Diceros bicornis minor: one gene and its partners. The protein of the gene in region 2 interacts with the protein of the main gene of each other region in a pairwise test. Links are inferred from orthologs where the notes say so. Each region holds a gene or a part of one and is shown on either strand. Other genes may lie near its edges. The genes, in order: HMMR, MORN4, RANBP3 and EXOSC8.

The links.
Region 1: the proteins of MORN4 (region 2) and HMMR interact in binary tests that used the Homo sapiens proteins (3 or more experiments, as listed by UniProt). The two-hybrid records come from large-scale screens. The link is inferred for Diceros bicornis minor from reciprocal best matches to the Homo sapiens genes MORN4 and HMMR.
Region 3: the proteins of MORN4 (region 2) and RANBP3 interact in a two-hybrid assay, tested with the Homo sapiens proteins (2 studies listed by BioGRID). The two-hybrid records come from large-scale screens. The link is inferred for Diceros bicornis minor from reciprocal best matches to the Homo sapiens genes MORN4 and RANBP3.
Region 4: the proteins of MORN4 (region 2) and EXOSC8 interact in binary tests that used the Homo sapiens proteins (3 or more experiments, as listed by UniProt). The two-hybrid records come from large-scale screens. The link is inferred for Diceros bicornis minor from reciprocal best matches to the Homo sapiens genes MORN4 and EXOSC8.

What each region holds. Positions count from the first base shown.
Region 1 is NC_080740.1:78,364,102-78,371,537, forward strand, and holds the start of HMMR (hyaluronan mediated motility receptor), read left to right. Parts: upstream 1-4,432; 5' UTR 4,433-4,519; coding exon 4,520-4,565; intron 4,566-7,436. Other genes in the region: NUDCD2 (nudC domain-containing protein 2), read right to left, coding at 1,037-1,188, 1,414-1,462, 3,655-3,843. UniProt on the Homo sapiens protein: Receptor for hyaluronic acid (HA). Involved in cell motility. When hyaluronan binds to HMMR, the phosphorylation of a number of proteins, including PTK2/FAK1 occurs.
Region 2 is NC_080745.1:63,377,924-63,384,803, reverse strand, and holds the start of MORN4 (MORN repeat-containing protein 4), read left to right. Parts: upstream 1-3,859; 5' UTR 3,860-3,997; intron 3,998-6,880. UniProt on the Homo sapiens protein: Plays a role in promoting axonal degeneration following neuronal injury by toxic insult or trauma.
Region 3 is NW_026691615.1:2,332,850-2,340,110, forward strand, and holds the start of RANBP3 (ran-binding protein 3), read left to right. Parts: upstream 1-4,254; 5' UTR 4,255-4,269; coding exon 4,270-4,491; intron 4,492-7,261. UniProt on the Homo sapiens protein: Acts as a cofactor for XPO1/CRM1-mediated nuclear export, perhaps as export complex scaffolding protein. Bound to XPO1/CRM1, stabilizes the XPO1/CRM1-cargo interaction. In the absence of Ran-bound GTP prevents binding of XPO1/CRM1 to the nuclear pore complex.
Region 4 is NC_080748.1:19,384,438-19,392,104, reverse strand, and holds the start of EXOSC8 (exosome complex component RRP43), read right to left. Parts: upstream 3,003-7,667; 5' UTR 2,960-3,002; coding exon 2,943-2,959; intron 1,823-2,942; coding exon 1,786-1,822; intron 1,542-1,785; coding exon 1,478-1,541; intron 914-1,477; coding exon 840-913; intron 1-839. Other genes in the region: ALG5 (dolichyl-phosphate beta-glucosyltransferase), read left to right, coding at 4,181-4,246. UniProt on the Homo sapiens protein: Non-catalytic component of the RNA exosome complex which has 3'->5' exoribonuclease activity and participates in a multitude of cellular RNA processing and degradation events.

The DNA of each region.
Region 1 (7,436 bases), on a different chromosome or scaffold from region 2:
ATCACACAGATGGAAATTATCCATCAAAACTTGAACAGTGCTTTGATCCAGTAATTCTTCTCCTATCTATCTATCTTAAAAGAACGTTTGAATAGTTTCACAGAAATGAAAGCACACACTTTGAAATAGACACAAATGGGGAAATCTAAATCCTATCAAAGGGGAATATCTAAATAAATAATTATGATACATTCAAACTAGAAAACATTCTGAAGCAGTTAAAAAGAATAAGTTTTATCTATATGTACTAGTAGGAAAAGAGACCCAAGACAATTTATTAAATGAAAAAGCAACAAGAAAAATACACGAAGTGTGACCATTTATGTTAAAAACAAAACAAGCAAGCTAATATACTGATGAGATGAGAAAGAGACAAAGGCATGGAATGGGGAAATGTTGATAAAGGCACCCTTCACTTTTTTAAACTATGTAAGTCTATATTGATTGAATTTTTATGAGTTTGTTCATGTATTACTGGTATACAACATACCAATTTAAACTTAAAAATCATGGCAGTACAAATAAATCCCTCTAAAGAAAATTAAAAATCAAATCCATACAGAGAAAGGCCAATCATTTTTCTAACCACTTAACTTAAAAAATTACTCTAGGGGCCGGCCCCGTGGCTTAGCAGTTAAGTGTTCGAGCTCCACTACTGGCAGCCAGGGTTCAGATCCTGGCACGCACCGACGCACCGCTTGTCCAGCCACGCTGAGGCCGCATCCCACATACAGCAACTAGAGGGATGTGCAACTATGACATACAACTACTTACTGGGGCTTTGGGGGGGAAAGGGGAAAAAAAAAAGGAGGCGGATTGGCAACAGATGTTAGCTCAGGGCCGGTCTTCCTCAGCAAAAAGAGGAGGATTGGCATGGATGTTAGCTCAGGGCTGATCTTCCTCACAAAAGAAAAAAAAACATTACTCTAAATATTTTTCATAATTTTTATAACATTTGAGTTTTAATTTCAAATAATAACTATTCTATGATTTTAAGATGTTTAACTATACATAGTCACACATTCATCTGACTTACTTCTTTCTGGAATCTCTCCAATGTAAGTTTTCTCTGCATTTGGTCTTGCACCCAAGGATCAGCTGCATATTCAGATTCTAGAAGAGAAGTCCAACAATTTGCTGCATCTCTCTTTGTCTTTGTAAGAACAATACGGACCATTTTTCTGTCTTCTGAACAAACAAAAATCACAAAAAAATTAAAGTTCATCATTAAATTTTTTATTTTCAAAAACCATGATGTATTCTTGACATACAATTGTTTTCAGTACACTTCTATTATTATATCTTCCAAAGCTGCAAAGACAAAGGACCTAATACGATAGGGGAAACATACTAAGTTCTAAGACTAAATTAATTTTTAAAAAGATTCTAAGAATTACAATAAATTACCCTTACCCAAAGTCCATGTTGCCTCATCAGCTATTGTAGAATCAAAGAGTTTGCCCTGAAAAATAAACATATAAAGCACTAAAAATACAGTCATTTCATTAATTTTTATAAAGCTCTCATGATTTAAGACTTACCTAATTTCCTATCTAATCCACATATAATTTTCTAATTTGGTTAGAACAGAGAGATCAAATTTCGTACCATTTTAACACATTGATAGGTGTTCAACTCTAAGTTTCCTCCTAGCAAGTGAAATGGAACCTAGTTTACAATGCTTGGAATATTTACTATGACAAAGAACACAGGGCTCTCTAAAAAAAGATCAGGACTTCTTAATTTTTAGAAGATAAAGAAATATTACTGATCACTGATTAGCCAAATGTGAAATTAATATCTGAAATACTTTAACTTTACCAATTAAAATGAACTACAGGGGCTGGCCCGATGGCGCAAGTGGTTAAGTGCGCGCGCTCTGCTGCAGCGGTGCAGGGTTTGCCAGTTAGGATCCTGGGCGCGCACCGACGCACCACAGCACGCCATGCTGTGGCGGCGTCCCATATAAAGTAGAGGAAGATGGGCAGGATGTTAGCCCAGGGCCAGTCTTCCTCAGCAAAAAAAAAAAAAAAAAAAAAAAAAACAAGAGGATTGGCAGATGTTAGCTGAGGGCCGATCTTCCTCACAAAAAAATAAATAAAAAATAAAATGAAATAAAATGAACTACAAGAGCTCTCCTACTGAAATTAAGAAGAAAGGATGTCTTTCAAAATAAATTTTTAAAAACTGGTTTAATCTCTTTGTCAGGCAATTTGGCATTTAAAAAATTTTAAAGCACATACTGCAGATATGATGTCAGATTAGTTGTGACTGATTTTTCAGAATCTCTTAAGAAAGAAATAAGCAAAAAAAATTTTTTTAATTAAAAAAAAGCAAAATATAAGTTTAAAAGACAATCCATCTGCTCGAATCCATTTTGATTTGTTGCTACTTGCCAAATTTAAGTTTTAGGAAATGAAATTAAAATGTCACATAAAAAAAGAATACTCATTTTTTCATATGTCAATACTAGTGAAAAAAAAATCTTACTGGTCTAAATGTACACCTATAATCCTAGAGTTAGAGTTAATGCTAAATTTCCAAAGTTATTGGAATTACTAAAGTAAATGTGAGGTGTAATCTTGAACCACTGTTCAGGAAACTATGAAATGCTCAAATATTCAGAAAGATCATTAAGATCCAAGTTGACATAAATCAGTCTTTCATACGACTCTTCCTTTTGCAGGAGGCAAAGCACTTCCATATAAAATAATAATAGCTAACATACAGTGTTCACGTATTAAGTACCTGGCACTACTCCCAGCTCTTCATTCACATGGATACCATGTTATGCCCACAACAATCCTGAGAAAGGTACTATAATTACCGCACTTTGTGGATGAAGGATTAGAGACACTGAATAATCTCTTGCCCAAGGTTACAAAACTAAAAAAACGGCAGAGCCAGATCTCCTACCAAGTAGTCTCCCTTCACCACTATACTGTCCTCCAACATCTTGGGCATCTAATCCGAGCAAGATATCTAACTTCAACTTAATTGAATTTAACTATAAAGCTTAACAAGGACAAAACGGGTCCCAGAGCCAAAGGGCACTGGTGAGAACCAAAGTGGTATTAATTATTTTCTTCACACACATCTTGACCACATGCTTAACTGCTCCACGAATACGCAGAATTTTTCTAATTTTAGATGAGAAAATCACCTGACATCATCTCTGCAATCTTCATCCCGATATCCTTAATTTTCTTCTTTACTTTCCCATAACTGCCTAAATATGTATTAGTTTAATTATGCCTCTCTACAAGAATATAACCTCTGCAAGTACAGGAACCTTATCTGTCTCGCGCACCTAGATCAGTGCCTGGAAGAAAGTATATGTACGATAAAATTTGTTCCTTTAACGACCTAGTTAAGTTGTTCTCAGCTAAAGACCCCCAGAGGAACAAAAGCAGCAGCTTCATCTGGTTTAGAAATAAAGCCAGAAAAATCGGCTCCGCAAATTTCCAGGTCAACTGAGGACTGGCCCTGAGGGTGGGGGCTCTAACCAGATCAAAACCAAGCCAATTTTCTCTCTTTCGGCCACTCACAGGAGCCGTAAGGCTTTCCAAGTCTTTCCACGAAAACCATGAATTTTAGCACTCGGGGATTCAGCGAGCCGGGGAAGAAACAGCACAAGCCCCGAGCTGCCGCTACCTTGAGGATCTCGCGGCCACCCACGGCCAGAGCCACATGCCGGCTCTGCAGGCCGCACTGGATATCCTGGGCGCGAGTCCCTGGCGGCACCTGAACTTCAATGAACACCTCCTCCAAGGTCTGGTACCACTGGCCCCACGGCGTTCCGCACGGAACCACCCCGCTGCGTTCCTCAAACGGGACCGACATACTTCGGTTGCCTCCTAGCTGCAGCCGCGCCGTGCGAGCTGAGCGCATGCGCGAAATCTTCACGGTCAGGCCACGCCCCGGCCTCGCCGCTCGGGGCACTGCACATGCGCAGGGATGTGAGCTGAAGTCAGCCTGTATGTTCGTTTTTCCCTTTCAATGGCCTTTTAGGCCAAACTGGGAAGGCCCCAGTTTGAAAGAACTGAAACCCAGAAAAGATTACATTCAAAGAAGGGTGAGAGAGGGTTAGAACCACTTAAGCTGGAACTCAGTGCACTGTCACCTATATGACGCCAAATTCAAACGTGAAAACTTCTCAGGTATGAAGTGCGCTTGCGCAAATGCTGCTAAGCGCGTAAGTTACAATTGAATAAAGCCAGGAGCGATTGGACGCGCGGCGGGAGGCGGGGGAAACACGACAGAAGTAGTCTCCTATTGGCTGGTAGCCTAAACTCACGGGCTATCTGATAGGACTCGGCGAGAGCGGAGTGCGCTCGCTCTTTGGATGTTCCCGTCCTGGATTGGTGTGCCCAGGGTTTTGGTTTTCCAATTGGCTAACGTCGGGATGGGCGGGGAATGAGCGGCGAGATTTGAATTTGAAGCGATTAAGTCCGTAATAAGCCGCAGGAAGTTGGCGAGGAACGCTAGTCACCTTCGGTCTGTGGAGCTGGTCGTCAGCATGTCCTTTCCTAAGGCGCCCCTGAAACGATTCAATGACCCTTCCGGTGCGTACGGGGAAAGGAGCTGGGGGACGGGAGACGATCCCACGCCCCTTGCCCCTCTCGGTGTTCCCTTCATCATAGGCATATTGGAGGCGATTTTAGAGCTGGGATGGGGCTCATTAAATTGATTCATTTTTCTGGAATAGGTACTAAGCGTTTAGTACATGCCAAGCACAATTTAGGATGATAAGGATAGAGCAGTGAGCGAAGCAAAGTCCCTGCCCCATGGAGCCTACCTTCAGTTTAGAATACAGCCAGTAAACAAGTAGTGCTGTGGAGAAACTAAACCAGAGGGAAAGGAAAGGGGCCACGAAGCGTTGGTAGCTATTTGATGGTCAAATCCGGAAGGCCTCACTGATAAAAAAAACTTTTGACCATTGCTTTTCGTCTGAACTTGTTTATTTCTTTTGGATAGTCCATTCGGACATGAAAGAAGGAAGACTGGTACAGGTAGTTTATGGGTGTAAAATTAAAGCAGTAGCATTTACCGAAAACACTATAATTTAAGTAGTGGCAGCTACTATTGATGGTACCCCAGGCACCATACTGTCTTGACATTGATTATTAGTCCTTTTTAAATTCCCCAACATCCCTGAGAGGTAATCCTATTATTCATTATTTTATTGATAAAAAGACTGAGACTTAGAATTGCTCAATATTAACCAACCAAACTGGCAGAACTGAGGCGTGAAACTGGGTGCGCGTGTATCCTGTGCTCTTAACCACTGCAATGCATAAGCACAGTAACCAGGAAGACTGGATGTGGTTAGTAAGGCACTCATCATTAATTAGATGCTAACTATATGCAGGGACTGTGCTAAGTTCTTCCCTTCTAGATCTGGTTTATTTTTTCCAACAGCCAGGTGAGGAAGAGACTAATATTGTCCTCATTTTACAGATGAGGTTTAGGGGTTTTGTAACTGTACTGAGCAGCCAGTAAGTGGTAGAGCTGAACATTAAAGGCCATGATTTATCCATTCTAGTATACACTTTTTAACAGTCATTCATTACGTCTTTAATTTCTATCAGCTGATATGCGGCTAGAAATGAGCATCACTCTGCTCACAAAGGAAGGCCAAGTGGGCAATGGATCAACCAAAGCTTGTTTTTTAATTAAAAGTCTCAAAGACCTAGTTATTTCCCAGCTAGTCAAAGAACCTGCTCTAAGTTCCATCAGTAGTGTGTCTTTTAAGGTGATTTTTTTTTTTCTTTTTGCTTTATAGTAAATTAAACTGGCTTTACCAATGACACAATATTTCAGGCTCACAGTCTCAGGAGTAATAACAGTTATCACTTATTTGGTGTATGTGTGTGTGTGTATGTGCTTGGTGTATGTGTGAAGCACTGTAGTGATTTCTCATGTTACTCCAGTAATCCTAACGACCATGCTGAGGTAGACACTATTTTTTTATTCCTGTTTCCTGAATGAAGAATCAGCCTCAAATAGAAATAACTTTCCAGGGTCTTAAAGCTAGACTGGAAAAGGAGAGAGTATAATGGTCTTATTTACCAACTTCTCCCTATGAGAACAAATTACCTGGCGCGTAGAAGTATCTCTATTGATTGGCAGACAAAGCTGGATTTGAACCCTGATCTGGCTGATTACAAAACTCTATTCCCATCCCTACATCCCCAACGACTTTCTTCTGTTTTCTTCACCACACTGCCAAACTCAACCATGAGCTAAATACTGTGGATACAGACATAATTAATACAGTCCCCAACTTCAAGCAGTTTTGTCTAATGTGGGAAATGGATAAGTACATTATTATAAGCCATTACAAAACTATAAGAAGTTCTATGATAGGAACAATATGTGCAGGCTGCTATGGAGGGAGGTTTCTAACCTGATTTGGGATTTCAGAGAAAACTCAAAGAGGTGACATCCAGACCGATCTGAAGGATAACTGAGAGTTAGCTAGGCAAAATGAAAGGTGGGCTGTCCATTCTAGGTGGGAGAAATAGAAAATAAAGAGGTCTGGAAGTTTGAAGCATTTCTTTAATGCATAAAATGTTTTGTTTGCATACAAGTGTTGGCTGCCTGTGTTAGCTTCCAGTCGTTGTTGACCAAGATATAAGTTGTTCCAGAAAGCTTGCGATATCTCCCAAGATATCCTATTTCTTTTGTCTGATGTTCCCTCTCCCCAGATTTCTAACAAGTCATATCTATAATGTCGTACATTGAATTGTTACTAAGGAAAAGACCTTGAAAATGGCATGTGCCACAGTCTCACAAAGAGTTGATAGGTATACAGCCTGAATTTCAACCTAGTTCTTCTTAAATCTAAATCTCCATAACTATCAAATTTGACTCTTGAGTCTTTAGGGAAGAGTTTCTGTTAAGTATGGTTTTAGTTGTTGTCAGCTTGCTTGATGCTTGGTCACTGTCCACCATCCCATCTTTTGCTGGCCTTTATCCCCTTTTGAGAGTGTGGACCTGATGATGAACTACAATACTAGAATTCAGTATCATTTTATTTTCTGGCTGCTCTGCCAAGTCTAAGGCATTGCTTCCCATGCTTTTCCACAGAAGCATTCCTAAGAGCAGAGAGCAAAGGAGAATAACCATTGTCTCTGCATCCCTTCGCTCCTACTTCCCCAAAACAGCATAACTAACAGTAGTGGTGACAGTTTTCTCTGAAGCCTCCTGTTTGCTTTAAAATATAATATGTTCCCCACTGCCTCCCCGCACCTCTAATCCCAAATAAGTAAAATAGATACTCTAAGATGTGCCAGCCTTAACCTGATCTTAGGGAAACCCCTGTCACCTAACTATTCACCCCAGGGTGTAAATAGTTGGTGAGGTCTGAGAAACCTGTGCTAACCAAGATTAATGCTTTTTGCTAAGTCTGCCTTTACCTTACATACCCCAGT
Region 2 (6,880 bases):
TGTGAAGACTGCGCATGCTCTAGGAGCCAAACCCGGGTCAGACACGCCCTCTGCTTTTACCAGCCCCGCCCCGCCCTTAGCTTCCAATTGCTGACGGGTGTTCGGGAGCCTTCAGTAAAGTAGCCTACTTAATCAGTCATTCCTTTATTGAGTGCCTACTATGACCCAGCTGTGGGACTGGAGAAATCTAATCTTTGTATCTGCATTCATTCAATCAGGCACTCATTCATTAAATATTTATTGAGCACCTACTACGTTCTAAGTGCTGGGGAGACAGAAGTGAAGCAAAGAAATAAAATCCATGCTGTTAAAAAACAAAATTCGACTGAGTAAATTTGAAAGATCGTATTGGCTTTATTCAGTGACTCATGAATGGGGCAGCATCCCATCTAGCAGACAGAAAGGAGCTCTGAGGAGCTGTACAAAATGGAAGGCTTTTAAAGGCAGAAGGGAGCCAGACAAGGAAGTTATACTAGCAAAGAGTGGGTTGGTTGTGGCCAAGTCACCTTCCTTTAGGGATGGCAGGGGTCTATCAGGCAGATTACCTCACTAGTGCTGACCAGGTAATTCCAGACTGACTGGGTTAAGATTCCAGTCAGTTAAGTATTAAGTCTCTGCTTCATGACATGGGGCTTAGCATAACTGACTCCATTTGGGGCCTGTTGTCTTGTTTTTAACACTAACTAAATAAAAAAGTTTTAAAAAACTCCAGCCCTGGTGCAACTTACACAGTGCCTGGCCCAATGCTTATTTGTTAATTGAAGAACGATATGGTCCCATTAGACTAAAAATACCAAGAGGTAAGAGTCCATGATTGTTTTATTCATCACTGTGAAACCTCAGTGTCTAGACACAGTAGGTGCTCAATACATTTTTATTAGCAGCAAAGAGAAGGAAGATATAGTTCCTGCCCTCAAGCTGAAGACACACAGCTCTGTGAGGCAGTAGGAGAAAAAGAGCCAACAATGAGAGCTGAAACCTCCACAAGAGGAGTTTAGTAATTTGGGGGTAGGCCGGAAAGTCAGCAAAGGCCTTAAGTGGGGCATGTGCTATGAGCTAAGTCTTAAAGGAAGAATATAATTAGATCACTGGGGAAAAAGGGGGAGAAAAGAGGGAATCAGAGACATTTAAGTTTGAACCCCGCTCCACACTTATTGTTTTGTATGAGTTAACTCTCTAAGCTTCAGTTTCATCATCTATAAAATGGAAATAATCATCACTTCCTCAATGGATTAAATAAGAATTTAATACATTAAATTCTACATTTACTACATACATTATGTATGTAGAGCACTTAGCATAGCCCTTAGTACATAAAAAGCGTTCAACAAATGGTAGCTTTTTATCACTGCTGAGCTTTTGATTGATACTGGTTTTGCTTTTGTGCTTAAAGTAACCAGCAGACTAAAGGCGTGAGTTTTCACAAAAGATGACCAGCCACATAGTAACCAATATTTCATAATCAGTCTTTCTTGAATCAAATGATTGCCACAGCTAACTAGAAGTACTAAATTGAAAGAACTATTGTTTAATTCTATGTATGGGAACGTCTTAAACTTTTTTTGCCAGGTAAACCATTCTAGACAAAGATCATATAGATGGTTCAATTTCCCCTTTTAGTTACAAGACGTGTATTTCCCCTTCCTATCCAGCATCAAATAATTAAGTAATATTTGCTTCTTGTGTCCCAGGGGCCATAGCCACCGACATGATCTCTTGGTATTATTCATCTCATTTACTCCCTAAGCTTCAAATCATGGTGAAGGAAAGCCCCAAGATTTAGAGTTCTCTCTTGAATTCTGAGTTTTCTGTATGGAAAACCCTCAGAACTTATTTCTGTATCTCCCTCTTGGAACTTGGTTTTCCTTTTACTGAAAAAAAGAGTGTCAATGCATTCCCTGTTACCTATGAAAAGCTAGCCCTTACCAAATGCTAAGCATGTGTCAGGCGTTGTTTTAAGTGCATTACATAGAGTAAGTCATGTAACCAGCATTACAGCCCCTATGACGTTGGAAGCTGAGTAAAGTAACTTGCCTATGGTCATGCAGCTGGTAAGTGGCAGAGCTGGATCCAAACCCAGGCAGACTAGCTCCATGCTTTTAACACTATATTGCTTCTTATTAAATATCTCTGTGAAATGTGTCTCATCTTTACCCCCTTTCTTTCCATCTTCACTGATGCCACATTAGTTTTGAGACTCTCAGAATGTCTTAGCTACATGATTACAATAGTTTCTGAGTTTGTTTCTCTGCTTCCAATATCTCTCTGATTATCTCTGGGTATCACTGCCAGATTAATTTTCTTAAAACACTAATTTCATTGTGTCACTGCTCTGATCAAGAAACTACATTTTTTATTGTGGTAAAATATACATAATATTTATCATTTTAACCATTCATAAGTGTACAATTCAGTAACATTAAATACATTCACAATCTTGTGTAACCATCACCACTATCTATACCCAAAACTTTTTCATCATCCCAACAAAAACTCTGTACCCATTAAACAGTAACTCCCTCTTCCCCTAGCTCCTAGTAACCTGTATTCTACTTTCTGTCTATTAATTTGCCTATTCAAGAAATTAGATTTTGCAAACCATATCTTCTCCCTAATTTTTCAGGTTTTTCCATAATTTGACCACAATCTATGTAACATTACTTCTTCGTATTTTTAAATACACATTCTCCAATCTTATAAGATTTGTTTTCTGGATATTCCATTCTCTCAACTACTGCAATTATATCTATAGTCAATACCACAGAGTTTAGCGTGTTTAACCTTTGAGTGTTAGAGCTAGATTGAATCTTATAGGTCTCCTAGTCCAATCTCATTTTACAAGCTAAAGTGCTTAATAACTTGCTTGAAGCCACACACAGTTGGTGGCAGACACGGGATTTGAACACCGAATCAAAGTCTTTTAAAACAATTTAAAACTACCATTTATTGATAGTTTCAGACACAGTACCAAGCATCTTACGTTGTATTCTCAGACAAGTCCTGAGGAGACTTTATCATCATCATTATTATTATCATCATCATTTCTATCCTACAGATGAGGAAATCCTAATTTAGAGAAGCAATTTGCTTACTCTCTTCACGCACTTGCCTTCTCTTACTAATGAAATATAGTCTTGGATTTTTCCATGTGCATGAATCTTTTCTTCTCCACATTTAGGCAGTAAGTCCCATGAGGGCAGTGATCATGTCTTTTCCAGCCTGGCAGAACCTAGCATCGTACTGCATTCACACTGTTCAGTAAATAAACATATGGATAAACGGATTGGTGTGCATGGTATTTGGGAGGATTTTCTCCAATCTTGGCACTGTATTGTAACTACAAAGGATCTGGGTAATGACAACTACAAGACAAATCCTTACAATGGATGCAAAAGTGTCCTCATATCACAGAGCTGGCACGGGGTGACACTCATTAAACTGCAGTTGCCCCGTCCAGTGTATTACAACGTACAAAGCTGCACCTCAAAAGCCAGGTTCCGGTTCTGTCCTTAAACTCCGCGGTGGTACCGTTTACAGCTGTGGAGACGGGGCAGGATCGGAGCCGCCCGAGGTGGTCACTGTTGCGTCTGACGCAGGTTTGGCTTGGTTTTGTTTGGGGTTGACATTTCGGCTAGCCTGTCTCTGGGTAGGCGACAGCTGAGTTCTCTCTGTCCGGGCGGCGGAGGTGGGGTTCAGCCCCACCCCTCTGTCGGACGTTTGGCCCCGTCTCTCAACACACTCCGCCCCGCACAAAGATGGCGCAGAGCCCGGGCTGGGCCAATGGGGAGTGGCGTTGCTCCCGGTTGCCTAGGTAACAGCCAATAGGCAGCGGGAATTGTGCCCAGTGCGGCTGCCCGGGATGGCGGCGTCAAGCGGAGCAGGCGCTGGTGGAGGTGGCCGAGAGGCAGGTGGCAGGGGCGAGACCGACGGAGCGGAGGTCTGGGCGGCTGGAGCCCCGCGTCGGGGCGTGACGGTCACCCTGAAAGGCCAAGCCCAGGTTGGCTGGCAGCGCGGATGGGAGTGGGCCGGGAGCGTGTGGTCGGATGAAGAAGGGACTGAGGAGCCCAGCCCGAGATGACGGGCTGGGGAGCGCGGCTCCATCCTGGACGCGCTGACCGGAGGGCGGCTGCCCCAGGGGTCGCAAACCCGGGCCTCTCGTCCCCACCGCGGGGGTTGAGGCCCGGGAGAGCCCACGGTACTTGGGTTAGCGAGCGGGGTGGGTGGGGCTGCGTCAGGAGGGGATGGCAGACCTGTGTGAGCAGAAGACCCGGTAGAGGGGAGGAGCGGTGCTGGAAGGCAAGAACCGGGTGGGAGAAGGAATGGGGAGTCGACAGGGAAGTGTTGCCTTGTTGCGTCTAGGGCTTTGTTTGCTCTGGGCCCGGCTCTCTCACACTGTGGTGGAGAGACGTCCCACACGCACATCGAGGCTTGGGGAATGGAATGCCTCAATTATTGATGGTGGCATCCCTGCAGTCTAGCATCAGCAAACTGCTTGGGTACCAGCAGGAGTAAGTCAGCTACGTTAGAACCGGCCAAGGCATTTTCCTTTGCCGTGAAATAGAATAGCATCCTGGCAGTTCCCATCACCTCCAAGTCTTTTTTTCTCTTTCTTCTTTCCTTCTCTTTCTTCCTTCTCTTCCTTCCTTCCATCTTTCCTTCCTTCCTCCCTTCCTTCCTTCCTTCCTCCCTTCTTTTTTCTTTCTTCTTTTTTTACAATCTTTCTGGTGTCAGGATTTCCTTCCCACTTTCTTCAATCTAACCATCTCACAGTCTTCCTAAATAAGACGTTTATCTAGTAGCAATACGTTTGTTTACTTTTAGAGTGGAAGGAAGTAGTAAAAGAGACTTATAGACTTATAATACAGTTGTTTCAAGCTCATTTAAAACCCCTGAAAAAGAACATTTGACTTTTTGTTCTAGATTCCTTACAAGCCTAATCTTGGTTCATCAAAGCCTTCACTTTCTTCTCTTTAGGATTGAAAATCATAAGAACTGCTTTCTTTATAACTGAACAACTTTGACAAGACTGTCATACCCTAGGGAGGGTGGCTTTAGGGGGACAATGTGAAGATGTATATGGATAAAGGTGGCTGCCTCTAAACAATATTCTGTTGAAAACCTATTCTCCTTTATGTTAGTTTTTTTCAAAAACCCTCTGAATTTGGACACAGGTTACTGTGAATGCATGAATATTTCTTAACTAGTTTGATTTCTGAAATTAAAAAAAAGACAAATGGAACAGAAACAAAAGTTCTCATTCCTGTCTCCGAGTTCTACTTGGAAATGTCTGGGGCAGGAAAAAATAAGAAGCAGGGATGTAGTCTGTTGTGCAGACTAATAGTATATTGGTTTACAGGGACAAAATCATCATTTTCTTTTAGATAAACATTTGGATTAATTCTTAGCAACCCGTCTATCAAGAGAGTTGGAAGCGTGGGTATCTGTTTAGAAGCGTGAATCATCTTGGTATTGTAACTAGATTCCATATGTATATCTGAAGCCTAAACTCCTAGGCTATCTCTTCTCTTTAAAACGATTTTTTGAATAACTGATACAAATACTGATTTGCATCCCTTATTAAAGTATTGGGTTTTTCAGTCTTCATCAGTTGTGGCGATACTTTATTGAATTAGATTTGTCTCAGTGACCGTGGTTACTGGTGAAGTTCCTTTTTGGGTCAGTGGCTATGCAGCTGACTATTAATTAGCGTGGCTAACTACAGAAGTCATATGAAAATCCTGACACTGTCCCAGGCAGTGACAGTATCAGTTATTTGGACACATGTAAAAGTTTCTAGTCAAATGTGTTAAACCATGGCCTGAGACCCATGGAGTCTATGTGTGTTCCCTTTAATTAGCAGTTCTGATTGTGTTCTTGGGAATGGACAGCATTTTGACAAGCAACTGTTGAAGGAAGTTTGCTGTGTCTCCCTGGATCAAAAAGGAATGGAAATTTATAGCATGTACTTTTTAAAACAAATGGGAGAGGATGTTCCAGTTACTATTGCTGTGTGACAAATAGCCCCAAACTTAGTTGCTTAAAACAATCATATGATGCTCACAGATTCTGTGAGTCAGGAATTTGGACAGGGCATCATGGGAATGACCTCTCTCTGCTCTATGATACCGCAGATGGGATGCGGGCTCAATGCCTGGGGGCTGCAATCATCTGAGGGCTCCTTTGCCTGGGCTAGGATGATTCAGTGATGAGGAATGCCAACTGGAGCACCAACAAACATGGCTCAGCTTCCTCGCAGCATGGTAGCCTCAGGGTAGTCTGGTTTCTCATGTGGTGGCTCAGGTCTCCAAGCACAAGCCTACCAGGGAGCAAGAGGGAAGTTGCCTCACTTTTTATAATCCAACCTCACAACATACCATTGCTTCCGTTGTGTTCTATTGGTCAAAGCAATCACAAGCCTGCCCAGATTCAAAGGAGAGGTGTGAGACTCTACCTTTTGAAGGGGCAATTGCAATGTCAGATTCTTTGGAAAATGCTATTTGCCACATTTGGTAATAAGATAATCTTTCAAGTTTCATTGACTTCTTTGAAATATTTAGAGTATATTCCCCAAGAGCTAACATCATACCAAAAGAGTAGCTAGGTTCACAATTTGAGGGCTGGCTAGTACTTTGTCCATAGATAATCCTCAGACTGGACAAACACTCTTCCCTTCCTTCAGGGACCGTCTTTTGGTCCCTCTGAAACAAGATGGGATGCCACTATTTGGAAGTTTCAAGTAGCCTTGAGAAAAAGTAAACAGATACAAGAGGCTGCTCCCCGTGAGCCTCTGTGTAGTCAGTCTGACTCCTCAAATTGCAATAACTCCTTCCAAAGCTTTGAGTGAGGATGTTAGTTAACTGCTGTCACACATTTAAAGGAA
Region 3 (7,261 bases), on a different chromosome or scaffold from region 2:
GAGAAGACAGGCCAGACTGCTCTTTCTGTGCGGCCCAGCGCCCCTGGCAGCGTTTAAGCGCTGTGCCAGGAAGAGAGCCTTTGTGGAGGGGGCCGGAGGGGACAGCTGCCCTCCCCACACCCCCTCACAGGGAACCTTCTGTGTTAGCCGGGGCTCATCTACGAGGCTCGTCGTCATGGTCAACACTCCCATTGATAATTCTTTTGATGAACCCAAGGGAACGTTCTTCTGTTTCATTTCGGTTTTCCAGGTGGTATTTTCAAGATCCATCGACCCCTGCCTTCTCCTCTCCCTGGGCGCTGACCAGTACATGCCGAGTAATCACGTGTGTTTTTATCGTGTGTCCTTCGGAGGTTCGGTCACTGTGAAGGGGCAGTGCATTCCTCTAACTTCTAGAAATGGATGTATTCGATTTCTGTTTCAGATGTGAAAGTCACTTCTCTCGGGTTTTCTGTAAAATAGAATTTTGTAGAATTTGGAATTTTATCATGATCATCTTTTGAACCACTTTTAGTTTAAAACGGGTCAGCAAACTAAAGCCTGCTGTTACCACCTGTTTTTTTAAGTCAAGTTTTCTTGGCACACAGCCATGCCCATCCCCTTCACAGTAGCCAAGGCTGCTCTCACGCTGTAACAGAGAGTGAAGTGGTTTGGACCGAGACCATATGGCCCACGAAGTTGAAAATATTTAGAATCTGGCCCTTTACAGAAAAAAGTTGCTGACCTCAGATTTAAAACGAGTAATAGGAATTAATAATTCTTTAAACCTGAAGACTTTTGGACAACCAGCAGGATGAAACACTAAAATGTAATATTTGTTCGGTGGAGTTGAAAATGCTCATTCCTGTTTCAGTACTGTTCTCACAGTTGAGGTGCTTCTGTGGCTTCGTCATTCAAAGGCTGCCTTCTGTGTATTAACTTTAGAAGGTCGAGTCCTGTTACATAAATGGCAAATGGGGTGAATTGTAGCTAGGGAGACGCTCCCCATCATCTTAAAAATGTGCAAGTGCAGTTCTTATCAAAATATTGACCCAGAGCCAACTCTAAATGGGCTTCTAAAAATAACGGCTCTCCACTGCTGTCACAAGGTCACCGAAAGGGCGCGGCAAACCCCTCCAGAGCCGGAGGAGCCTTCATCACCATCCATTAGGGCTGCTTTCCGAGCTCTCGGGTGGACAGTGGCCAGATGGACGTGGAGTCTTCCTTTCTTTCTCTGCTGCTTGTGACAGCGCACAAGTAGGGCGGGAAGTAGGAGCTCAGACATCCAGCTTCCTTTCTCCTCTGCTGCCCGTTTAACGGCTCTGCAAGGAGCAGCCACAGTACTTCCGACAGCAGTGAGAATCTGGGGCTTCCACTTGCCTTCTCTCGGGCCGAGATTTCAGCCCGGCCCCTTCCACGCCGTAGACGCTGAGTTGGGAAAGGGCTGTTCAGGCTGTGCTCCTTTTTTTCTGAGCAAACTTTTCTCCCCTTTTCTCTTCGACTTTTTATTTTGCAAATTGTCAAATCCTCGGAAAAATTACAAGAATGGTGCAGCGACACTCGGGTCTCCTTCCCCCGGCTTCACTGTGAACGTTTTTATCGAAAGTGCTAGAACCACTCGGCTGTAAGTTGTGCCCATCTGACGTTTCTCCCCTAAATACTCCGCAGACATCCCCTAGGAGGAGGCCTTTCCTCTCCGTGGCCCCAGTGCCATTGTCCCTCCTGAAAACATGATCATTAATTTGGAAATATCCTTCAGTATATAGTCCATATTTAAATTGTCCCGATTGTCACCAGAACATCCCTTATAACTATTTTTTGAGCCATTTCTTGATCCGCAAAGATCTTTCCCCTATAATCTTTCATCTTGAATGATTTTTTAATTGATCCACAAAGATCAGGAAGTCCCGGTGTCAGCTGTGGGACCATTAACTTCCCTTTGAGTAACCCGTCTCTGAACCACCTGGTGGAGTGCGCTTCAGAGAGCCATGTCCCCCCTTCAGAGGAGCGCGCTCCTCAGGCCCAGCTCTCGTTACCAAATCATGATGGAGATAAAAGGTTTGAAATTAAAAAGAAAACAATTAAGCTGCCAGACAGGGTTTTGTTTTTATTTGGTGGCAAAGCCCCCCAGCGTTTTCTGCCATCCCATTGGTGGTCCGAGTTGCTTTCACATCAAACCACAGATTGTTGGCAGTGGCCCGCCGGTGGCATCGCTTCATCTCAGGATGAACGGTCACATCCTCCCATCGTTCCCTGTGATAGAGAGCGCTCGCCGTGGGAACTCCAGCCCTAAGGCCTGAAATCCAGCCCCAGAGGCAGACCGGCCGCCTGGGCACTGTCGTTGCTTCTTTCCACGTCCCCACTCTTCCTCTAGGTGGCGCTCTTCGTGAAGCACTTGCGTTGACCTGCATCTGTGTTTTAGGGGCAGAAATCAAACCTTTTTTTCTTAACTGCCTCGCGTTGAGACAGACAGTTTTTTCTTTTTAATGTGAAGAGAGCTTGAATCTCCTTCTGTAGGTTGTTTCATTGTTTGTGATGACTAAATGTTTCTTTCCGTTACTTTATCTTCCAAACATTTGTTAAATCTGAAGGGGAAGGCTTTGAGGCTGCCCTGGCAGGATAACGCCCATTTGTAACAAGACAGACAGCAGTTACAGAAACGCTGTTGAGCAGAAAGGCCGGTGTCACTGAAAGCTCTGTCGTAGTGTGTTTAGACCTGATTGAGAAGCTTGCTGTGGGCGAAACAAGCGTATCCTGTGTGCATAGCTATTTTCTCAGCCACATATATTTTAGCTCGATGTCAAAGGCTGCCAAAATTTTGGTGTTGGACTTTAACAAACCTGTTGAAAAACTCCAGGCTCTCTCAGTTCTTTAGAGATTACTTTTCTCGTCCAGCAAAAACACTTGGACCCAAGTAGAAAATGCTGGAATGGCACTTGTGTTTCTTTTTGGTCCTCCGCTTTAGGCTTCATTTCGAGTCCCCCATGCCACAGGGGCATTGGAACATTTATGTTCTGAAAACAGGGATTAAAAAACAAAAAACCCCAAGTGGTTCTAATTAGGGGCAGGCGCTTTCCCACAGGGTTCTGGGTTTAATTTCCTCTCGTGGAGTGTTAAATCTCTAGCCGTAAAGAAGCCACAGCCTGGTGTGCCGACCGACCTTGGGGTCCCGGGCAGGTTTGAGGGACAGCTTGGGAAGGAGGGCCCTGCCCGGATAGGAGGAGTCGATTTGGGTGACTTTTGAGATGTGTGGATGAGTCAACATTGTGTGCTTTTGCTTTCCTAAGAATGTTTGGAAGTCCTCTTAAATCCTCTATATACAGGTCCTTTCATCTGACAGGCCCACACGTTAAAAATCAGCCCCCAGGCCCCATCTAAAGAGGTTTGAGTTACTTACACTCAGAAGAAACGCAGCCACGTCTGCAGGGAGGCAGGGTGCCCCGTAGTCATTGAGTTCACAGAGTGAAACAGCTCTCTGTTGTGGACGATGCTGAGCGGGGGGTTTGGGGACCGGAGCCCATCTGTCCCAGGACACCAGCCTTATAACCTGTTTCTCAAGAAAAGAGTCTTGGCCTCAGAGCTCTCAGCCCGCGGAAGCCCCTCCAGAATCCCAGGAACCACCTCAGAGGATGCCGGGGGAGTTGTAATTTCGAGGATGAAGACTTCCGGAACTGGCTTCCTGACCCTGGCTGTTTTCCAAATCAGCCCTTGCCCAGAGCGTTTGGGGTGAGCCTAGGAGAACCGGTCACCCCGCACCTGCCCCACCGAGGCAGAAAGCCTTTCCTTCATCTCAGGGTTCAGCAGAACAGGTTGAAAGGTGCTCGAGGAACTAGGGCGAGCTGAAGCCTTTGGCCTGGACGCCCCATTTTGTGGCTGCCTGGTGTTCCGGCCACCTTCCCGCCTGTCCTAGTGGACAGGACAGTGCTGAGGGCCACCTCCCCTCCTCCTGTCTCTGAGGACGTGGATATTAACCCCTAGGGAGCATATGACATCCTCCATCCCCGTTTGTCACCAGGAGTGGTTTTCCTCCCCCAGGGCCCATCAGCAGATAGCTCCTGCCACAGGGCCCATCTCGCGGTTTTGAAAGTGAGCCCCAGGGTCCCTGCAGAGCCCAGCGGCAGCAAGTCCACGTGCATTTCCCTCTGTCGTGCGGGGGGCCGTTTTGTTGAGCAAAGCACGGGAGCCCATGCGGGCTCGCTTGGCCGTGCTCCGGGCAGGAGCCGCTGAGGTTGGGCTGTCTCGCCCTTTCATCCCCGCCCCTCCCTGCCCCGTGCTGCAGCCTTTATCCACATGGAAGGAAGATTGTCTTTTTTGCTCCCAGTCCTCTGCAGAGCAAAAAGACTTGTCAGATTTGGGAGAGGAGTCTTGAGGGGGGAGGCTGAGGCCCCCCACCATGGCACAGGTCACCCCGAGTCAGCTGGGGAGCACGGCCTAGCACCTCCTGCCCCCGCTAGCGCTTCAGCCCGCGCTCCTGAAGCCCAGCTTCTTCCTTCTCCGCGAGAACTGGCAGGGGTACGTCCATTTCCACCAGGATCCACGGCCTGGGGGTCCCAACCCGGATGGCCCTTTTCCCTTCGAGTCCCTCAGAGCCAGGCCCGAGATCATAAGCAGCTGAAGGTAACTGAAAAGACAGCAAGGTCCTCTTCATCTCCTCTGATTCCTGCTGCCGAAAGGTCTGGGAAGATTAAGTCCCTTTTCACATCAAGACTTTTCTAAATGGGGGAATATATACCCGTATAAGAAGCTAATCCTGTTTCCTGAAAGAGACACGAGGGGTCAAAAGAGGACTTGAGTAGTGTGGTAGAACCTTCCAAATCAGACTCGACCCCTTCTCGCTCCTTCCACTCCTCTCCCTGAATTGGAGCCTTCGAGGTCAGCGTCTTGGAAACGCGGGAAGCTCCGGCTCCTCTGACCTGTAGGAAGAGGCCATGTCTCAGGCAGATGGCTCTGCAGGTGCGATTGTGTTTGGACTGTGGTTAGGCTGTGAACTGCTTGTCTTCAGTGGAAGCAGGAAGGAGAAAAGACTCTCCCTTGGAAGCCACAGGGAACCCTTGAGCCCTTTATCTTTGTATTCAGAAGGCTTTGAATGATAGGTGGGGAAGGTTGTGAACTGTCGAGAACAAGAAGTATCTTGAGTTTCTGGAGTTTGATAAATTGGGAAAGGTAAACATCCTCCTACGTTAGGGCTGCAAACTCCGTCCTCTAGGTACCCAGTGACAGCGTCCCCCGTTCTCGTGATAGGGACAGTGACTCTTAACAAGAAAACAAAAGGCCCCGCTCTGCCATAGCGAGCGCCGGGCAGCCTTCCTGGTGTCACAGTTCCACACCTTCAGCGATTCCTCGTGTCGCATCACAGACCCCTGTGTTCTTAAGGAAACCGTAAAAATCCAGTTGCAGCCACCAAACCCCAGGATGCGCAGGAAGAAGTGACGTTCAGGAAGGTGAGGTTGGAGTCACATTTGAGCATTCTGGAGAAATCTGTGTGTGATGGAAAAAGAAGGAAGTCCTCACCATGTGCGGGGTGCAGGGTGGGCAGTCTTTCATGGTGTAGAAGTGGGTTGGGGGAGCAAAGCGTCTCAGAAGCCCAATAAAGATTCCAGCCAGGAGGCGCTGACACCAGAGTGTTCTGGAAGCGCAGCCCTCACACGAGAGCACAGGAGGGCTGGCAGAGCAAGAATTAGGAGGGGATGACTTTTTTGGTGGAGGGCAGAGAAGCTCCTGGAACCTTCTGAGTCGGGCGTTATGAGTTACTGTGTCTTCGGCCATCGTGAGCCCAGGAAATCGTGTTCTCAGTTCCCTGAGAACAGACGATCTTCACGAGGATCTGCACACGAGGCTCTTGCGCTGCTGCCTCGAGTGGAGAGCGCAGCTTACGGAGGAGTCTCCAACTGAGGGCAACACACGAGTAGATCCCAGAGGTCGTGTCCTGGCAGCTGCTCCTCCAGAGGCACCCAGGCTGCCCCGGGCCCTCTGCCAGTGCCCACTCGGTGAGACGGGTGGGTCACCACCCCCAAGAGGCCTGGGCAGGAAGTGCCCTGGGAGCCTCCCCTCCTGCCTGTGGCCAGTCTGGGCCTTGATTTCCGAGGCCTGGCCGGTGGAACTCGGCTTCTGAATTCTTGTAGACGTTGGGGCGCAGGCTCTAATCCCGAGAAATTCAAGCAGTCTCCAGAGTGGCAAACGCAAGGCTAGCCGTTGTGGCGGGGGGACCTCGAGATGTTAGGTCACCATGAGAGAGAGCCAGCCTTGTTGGGCATAGTGGTGAAGGCCGTGCATGTGACAGACACACGGGCACTCTTTCTTTGAGTGTTCGTAACCGTAGGAGTCCTCAGTTCCATCCGAAGTCCCAGCAGCGCCAGCGTCACCTCATTTGGTGACAGCTCTGAGCCAACCAGGGCTCACTCCGTTGGGCCCTCAGTGGAGGAAACCCTGGCTGGCTGCTAATGGCTCCCGTTAATTGGCTGTCTACTGATGGGGCATGTTCAAGGCAAAGTGGACTTTGTTTTTCAGGTCAGTTAGGACATAAGTCAAGGCAGTTGGAAGTCATCCCAGCTTCTCGGGCTGAGATTTTTCCTTGGTTAACCGGGACTGGTTGCTTTTGCCTCGGAACAAATTTGGATCTTGCTGTGTACCACGCTGGAGGTCCTGAAACCGCGCAAACGTTGCCCAGCAGGTCTCATCCGTCACGTGTGGTCTGCTCTTTATTCCTCCTTCCCTCGGGGAATGGAAAGCTACGCGTTCTTGATGATAAATAGTGGCTCTCTGAAATGTTGCTCATGAAGGGCCCTTATCGTCTTTCCGTCTCATCAGAGCTCTGGCCGTTGAAGACTCAGTACCAGGAAAAAGTCTCTCTCAGACTTGCTGGCTCTCGGAAGACAGCTTGAAGAAGGCCAAACCACAGCCAGATTACGTTCTCTCTGATCCGCAGAAAGCAGGCGGCTTAGTGCTTACCCTGGGCCCGGCTGCGGTCTGCTGGCCTGAAGCTCCAGCCAAGGCACCGCTGGGCTAAAGCATGTTTATTAGACCCACCAGGAAGCTTGGAAAGGTTCTGGAATGAGCCCCGTGGCTGGACAGCTTCCCTCGTCTTCCAGCTCCTGCACGGGGTGTGACCCTCGTTCCATTCCCGCCCAACATCCAGATCTCTGGAGCCCGTTTCTTTGTTCCGTGTCTGCCTTTTGGGTAAGCGTGTCTGAGCTGGTTGCCTCAGCCGCAGAACAAACAGCATTGAATTGGCCCGTGGTCCATGTGAAGACAAGGGCACATCAACAGGCCCCTCCCTTAATTG
Region 4 (7,667 bases), on a different chromosome or scaffold from region 2:
TGAGAGACTCTGGGTAGGTTATTTAATTTCTTACCATTCAACTTCCTCATCTGTAAAATGGGAAATTAACAGAGCCTACTTTTAGGGAATGTTAATGAGATCAAGTGAGATGTAAAGTCCCTAACAACCTGGCAAGGAGTAAGTGCTCAAATCTTATTATTAGGTAACACCTCAGCTTTATGGAGGGAGAATCTTAACTTAGGTTAAGTAAACTCACAGAGTGCAACATACTCAAAAAAGCAACAGGCTTTGGAGTCAGCTATATCTAAGTTCTATTTGTGAGACATGTTCCTGTACACATTACTGAACCTCTGTAAAACAGGAGACAAAGAGATAAATTATATCTCAAATGATTCTTCTGAGGATTAAACTGGATAAATCTGTAAAGCACCTAATACAAGGTGCCTGAAATACAGCAGATACCCAGTAAATAGCAGCTGTTGTCCCCTCAGTAAATAGTAGCTATTGTCCTCTCAGGCTTCTCTTTTGAACAATCTCGATTTTCTACACATTTGCACAGATTAAATGCCATCACGGGACAAAAGGATGTCACCAAAAATCTCTCAATTTCTCAGATGACAAATTTTCTAAAAATTAAAGGTGGTGAGGATTTTTTAAATGGTTTTATTTAGTATTTTGTGAATGTTCATAAATTAAGACTCATTAAACTTGGGTCATATTATCTAATACTCAAAGGTGAAAGCTCTTGGAAAATGAAAACAAATACTAAAAAACTGACACCTGACTGCTTAATCAACAATAGAATTATAGGTGTCTATAATAAGTATATGAAGCTAATTTGGTAACTTAAATCTCAGTAAGACATATATTAAACCTACCGCTTTAATTCCACAAATTACTGTAGTATTTCCCAGCTTCACTAAAGCAGAACCATCGGCAGTACTAATTGAACCTGAAAAGATAAGTATTTAAGCAAAATGAAGACCATAAGAAGTATTTTCGTTTTCTATGATTTTATCTTGCTACACATCTCAGTGGCTTATGAAAATTTATTCCTAGCCTGAGTCTTTTTAAAATGGTATAATTATTTAAAATTATTGTTTTAAGTATTATTCACCTGTCCTTGAATTTGTTAATCATTTTCATTCAGGCACAGGACTGTTATACAGATAAAAATCTCATGACACAAAATCATTGAAATCCCTTAAACATGGTAGAATTTGGCTGAAATACTGTTTAAGTGGCTGAGAGGCTACAACTTGGCAATGTCATACAGGTAAAACTAGAAAATTCAGTGTTTGCAACAGAGGATTTAATAAGTTTAAGACATATAAGAACACCCTGTGTTGGAGATTCTGAAGGAAGGAAGGGGAAAAATAGTTACTTTAAAATTTTAAATAACATATCAATTGAGAGAACAGTGAGTTTAAAGAAAAACTTTACAAACAAAAATTCTTTACTAGTATTAAAAATCAAAGCAACTTCAACATTCTATTAGAATTCAAAATATCCTCACCTATGTTGACAGTTGTGGTTCTGAATTCACCAAGTTCTCTTCCATCAGGACGGCAGTTCTCTTTCTAAATATATTTTTATGAAAGATTACATCTATATTTTACACACACCAAGGAAAACACATTAAACCTCGTTAACTCGAATTAATCTGAATTACTTGAAATTGTTTTTTTAAATTGAGGTATAATTAACATATATTAGTTTCACATGTACAACATGGTTCAACATTTGTATATATGAAAATTGTCTTTAAAAGAAGCATAAGGTATTATCAAAAGGCATAGCATGTACATAACCACCTTTACTCACCAAAAATCTCCTGTAATACTCCAGAGGTTCCACAGTTCTGAAACACGTGTTAAAAATATATCTGAGGTAAGTTAATGAATCTTAACATAAATCCAGAAATTGGCAGTGTGGTGATGCAGCATAAATTTCCACAATTTGTAACTAAGAGTCTTTCATGAATTCTGATGTTTGTGTTGCCACATGTAACTAATTATAAAAAGTAGATAGGCTTGCAGGAGCAATCACACTCGACTGCTGTCCTTAATTCTGCGTTAAACAATTACAGGATTGGAGCCCAAAGTTCTTGTGCATCTTTAAAAGAGGATTAATCCAGGTGTTAAAATAATGATGTCACTCTCGCTCTGAAGCAGGAATTCTTGGTGAACATGAAAAAGAGTTACATCTTTACTTTCACTATCTAAATTACACTGAAATTGAGCATATTCTTCAATTATGACTGTAGGCAATAAACCGTCATATTAGCAGTATTTGCGACTTTAAAAAAATCAGAGATTAAATGTTTTCGTTTTTACTTCATAATTGTCGAAGGTATGTTTAGACTCATTGTTACTTTGAAATTCCAAGAGTTAGTTACTAAACTCCCCACAGATTTTGTTGTTTAAGAAAATCAACTTTAAAACAAGTACCTAAAATACCTGAACTCGCAGTTTATACAGATAACTGTTTCAATATAATTGGTTTCCTTTGAAATCTTATTTCATCCATTTAAAAACTTGCCTCTGAGAACGAAAATCTATAGGCTTCGCCAGAGCGGCACAAAAAAGGTTTAAGTAAAACCTTCCGAACAAGGCATAACCCTTTTAGAGATAAATTACAGGAGAGGAAGAATACGATAGCGTGTGGTTCTGATGCAACACTTTTTAAAAGATTACAACTGTGCCTCCTGGCGCCGCACGTCCACCACACACCAAGCCACAAGCGCTCGCCCCAAGTACCGAACTCGAGGCACAGTCCCTTCCATCCTCCCTTTCGGGGAGAAGCCCCCTTTCCTTTCACTACGACCACCTCCGGTCCTGCCGCCTCTCGCCCGCTTCCGAGGGGGAAAGAAGTGGGAACCTAGTGGGATGCCCTCCAGGTGACAAAATCCCAGCTAAGGGTTAAAGGAAGCCGCGATGCACCAGCGCACAAACTCGCGCCCGCCGGCCACCGACACTCACTTGAACCCGGCCGCCATCTTCCCGCCCGCGTGCCTGCGCCGGCGCCGGCGCCGGGGCGACCCCGCGCTCCGCTCGCGCGCCTGCTCCGCCTCCACACTTTGGACACGGACGCCTGCGCCCTTCTCCCGCTGCAGAGACGCAGGAGGCTGGGGCGCCGCGAGGGGGCGCTCGCACTACGTTCGCTTCCACCGTCCGTAGCCGGACGCCTGTCTGGCTTTCCTTGCCTTAGAGGTGTTTTGGCGAATCTGCTGTTAGTGAAGTGACGAGCGGCTCTCTTTAGAAACAGTCTGGAAGTTCAAGAATTTAAGAGAAAACCGACTAACAGCCAAGAATCTAGTATTGAGTGTGGAGCATTATTCCAATGTTTCTCCGTCCTTTCCCCGCCTCCGGCTCAGACCGGGCCCTGGGCTTGTCTTCTCCCAGGTAAAGGGCTCCCTGCTCCAGCACCGGAGAAGCACGTTCTTTTTCTGTGCGCTCGTATCCGCGCCAGGTTACTCTTTGCAGGTCCCCGGAGCGGGTTCCAAAGGAGCAGCTTGTGTTGAAGGCTGTGTCGTGGCTTACGGCTTCCGCATCCCTCCTTGATAGGGTTGCCAGATAAAATACAGGATATCCAATTAAATTTGAATGTCAGATAAACAAAGTATTTTTTTCTTTTTACTATGAGTACGCCTGGAATAGTGCATGTTACTTTGTTGTTAACAAGGGCTGCGGGGAGCAGGGAAAGTTTTAGAAATAGAGTGGTGATGGCTGCAGGAAATTGTGAATGTAATTAGTACAACTGTATTGTACACTTAAAATGGTTAGAATTTTATATTTTATTTTATCACAGTTTTAAAAAATGTAGTATACCAACACCTTTTAAGTGGATGGGTTGTATGGTATGTGAGTTATATTTTAATAAGGCTGTTAAAAAACAATTAGTTGCTTATCTGAAATTCAAATTAAGTAGACATCCTATATTTTACTTGCTAATTCTGGCAACCCTACTAGGGAAACACAGTGCCTGCCTCTCCACCCTCTGAGCGCCTAGCAGACAAGAACTACTAGGTGTTCTTCGCCTTGCCGCGCGGGGGCGCTGTGGGCGGCGGCTGGTCCCGGTCGGGCCGCGCGGGGGCGCTGTGGGCGGCGGGCGCCCGGCCGGCGCGTCCTCTCTGCGGGCGGGAGGCGGGGCTGCCGGCCGCGCTTCCGCGTGTGTGTAGGTGCTGGATAGGGCGGGCGCGGCGGCCCGGGCATGGAGGATGGTTCCGCTTCTCCTGCAGCTGGCGGTGCTCGGCGCGGCGCTGCTGGCCGCAGCTCTAATACTGGTGAGGAGAGGGGTTGGGGACCGACGCGGGCCTGGGCTCACTGCTCTCCTGGAAACGCGGCCCCCAGGCGTCCTCGCCTCCGCACTGCCCGCTCCTCGTCGTGTCCCTTTTTACCTTGCTTCCCCCGAGCCTGGACCCCAGAATTTCCTCTCCTAGAATTTCACGCCCCCTTTCTTCCGCTCTTTATTTTTATTTTGGAGCTTTATCTCCCTTTGTGCTCAGAGCCTTGTACGCTTGTTCATTTTGGGACGTGCTCGCCCAGTCTTCACTTTCCCCTGGTACCCGGACCCACTGCCCACCCGCCCTGTGTGCCCCGACCTCTCCCGGACTTCTTCCCGGGTCTGCAGCCTCTGCAGGTCTGGCTCCGTCCGGGGAGGTCTTGAGCCCCCAGAAGGTGTGTGTGGTTCAGCAAATAGGAAGTGGTGACAGCACTGACAGCAGCCGTCTGTTACAGGTTGGAATCAGTCGTTGGATGGGGAGACCCCCTACGGACATAGGGAGACCAAAATAGATGAGGCCTGAGGTTACCATATGTCTGGAGGTCTTTATCTCCCAGAACTAAACACCCTAAATTTGCTGCTTCTAAATGAGGCAGTACAATGGAATTCAAACTCGAATTTTCTTTGCCATTACTCTGGAAACACGGAAATACATTGCTGTTCCATAAGTAATAGAAAATTTGCCAAGTGACCTTTCTCCCGTATAATTTGGAATGGGCCTGCCATCTAGTTAGTAAATGGAGAGGTTTCTGCTTCCTTGACATTCAGATTAACAGCCTAAATAACACTCTGCTGTCTTGCCGCAAATATTGTAAACTCACAGCTGGAAACAGTTTCGATAGAGAAAAAGCAGTGTATCTTGCCATCTTTCGTGATTTGTGTCTGAGTGAGAAAGAAGTCCTCTTTCCCTTAGTGGTATATAGAGGTTTCAGGGGTTTTGTGGGGCAGAGTTTGACAAAATCCTACATTGGATCTGCCTCATGTTGAATCTGTTGCACAAATCTAAATGTGTACATTATGAGGTTGTGCTGGAAGTATTTGATCCCACTAGCCTGAAGTGATTATGAGAGCTACCATTTATTGAGTCCTTACAATATGTTGGGTATTCAGTGTTTAACAGGGATTATCTCATTTGATGTTGGAAACAACACTGGCATAAATGTTATCATTAACTTCATTTGACTGGTGAGGAAACAATTTGGAGAGGTGAGCTCATATATGCAAATATCACATAGCTAGGGAAACTTCGTTTTTTAAAAATGCTAGAGCATTTAAATCATTCCCCCTTACCTAAAAAAAACCACAACTAATCTTCTATCTTATATATTCAACCTCCATACATGCTTCCCCCCCCACTTCCTTTGTGAATTATTTTGAAGTAAATCCAAGACATAACATTTTATCTGTAAATCCTCAGCATTTGTCTCTAAAGGTAGGACTCCCTCTTAAAAATAAAACCACAGGGGCCGGCCCGGTGGCGCAAGCGGTTAAGTGCGCGCGCTCCGCTGCGGCGGCCCGGGGTTCGCTGGTTCGGATCCCGGGCGCGCACCGACGCACTGCTTGGCAAGCCATGCTGTGGCGGCGTCCCATATAAAGTGGAGGAAGATGGGCACAGATGTTAGCCCAGGGCCATCTTCCTCAGCAAAAAAAACAGGAGGATTGGCGGATGTTAGCACAGGGCTGATCTCCTCACAAAAAAAAAAAAATAAATAAAACCACAAAAAGGTTGTCACAGATGTTTTTTTAAGTGTAGCCATTATTCAGTGATGTCAAGTATCCGGTCAGTTCAAATGCCTCCTGTGTGTCTTGGTACAGTCAGGCTGTTCCAGTCAGCATTCACACACATAGCACTTGAGCAACATGCCTCTAGTCTCTTAATCGATAACCTCTTCTCTTCTCTTTTTTTCCTTTTCCTTGTCTCCAACAAGTGGTCATTTGTCCTGTGTCATTTCTCACAATTTAAATTTCACTGATTGCATCCCCTTGGTGCCTTTTAACGTCTTACTCTGTCTCCTGAATTTCTTGTAAACTGGTAGTTACATGTAGCGACTTGATCAAATGTGTGTTTGAGTTTTTTAATCAAGAAAAGTGTGTGAGTGATGCTGAATACCTCCTCTTTTATCACATCAGGAGGCGTGTAATGTCTGATTTTCTCTGGTGTTAAGATGGACCCACAGGTTCAGGAGTTGTTAGCCTGACCCACCATTTATCAAGCTTGTTATTAACCTAATGGTTTTAGCAGTCATTGATGATCGTTACCTAAATCCATTATTTCACTGGGAGTTGCAAAGTGAAATATTCTAATTGTATCATTCCTTCGTGTATTACCTGGAATTCTCTAATGAAAAAAAATCTCATCCTTGGCTATTCAGTTACCCTGAAATACCTTTCATATATAAAAGGTAAGATAAAAAAGGCAAGTTTTCAAAATAATGAGATAGTTGCCTGGAATTTTACAAAAGTGACCAATTTTTTATTTTTAGTATCATTGTGAATCCATAATATAAAATATATTTCATATGTTTCAATCCATTGCAGTAATTATTCTTTTTGGTGCTCAAATCCTCCCATCATAGGCCAGTGGGAGCCCCTCACGTTGGCTACTTTGTCCTTTTGGCGTGGCCCTCACAGTCGTGGATACCTTCCTTGCTTTCTGGTCTAACTGTTCTTCCACTGTTGTACATTTCCTGCCCCAGACCTGAATCAGCCGTTCCTCTTAGAAGCACTGGTTGCTTTTAGTGGGAAACTGAATTTGGAAACCACAGTCTGGACACTAGGGGTGCAGAACAGAAACTCTTAACCACTAGTCTGGATACTGTCTCCATGCTCATACTAATCAGAAGCATATTCAATTTCAGTCTGTACCCAATGGAATATTATAAATGGTCATCAAATTACAAATGAGTAGCATTCCAAAAATTTGTAGATTGATTGTTTTGCAAGCAGAAAGTATACCAATAGAAACAATGTTACAAAGAATGGTATTTCTAAAGCTAGCTCCCAAATGAATATGGAAAGGAGCTATATAATGTTAGTAGTGCATGGTGCCTACAGCCTACAAGTTTGATACTTTACTCTAGAAAATACTGTATTCTGAATTCAAATCTGGGATAAGTATCAAGAATATATTCTTAAGCATTAGTGGTTCCTACTATGAGGATTGAGGGAATCTTCCCTTCGTATCCTAAGTCAATCTGGTCCTGGATGGGAGATCTGCCCTCACCCCACACATTCCACTGCAATATGAACTTGTCATCTGTCACATACAGGCTCCAAGTAGGGGTGGGACCTCATTGTGATTGTGCCAGAGTTCAGGCATTCAGGGCATCTAATAGTAGATTGCACTTCTGTAGTGACTGTTCCCTATTAGATCTGGAATGACAGAGGGCTAGGGAATGACAGGTTGGAAGAGACAAAGACCC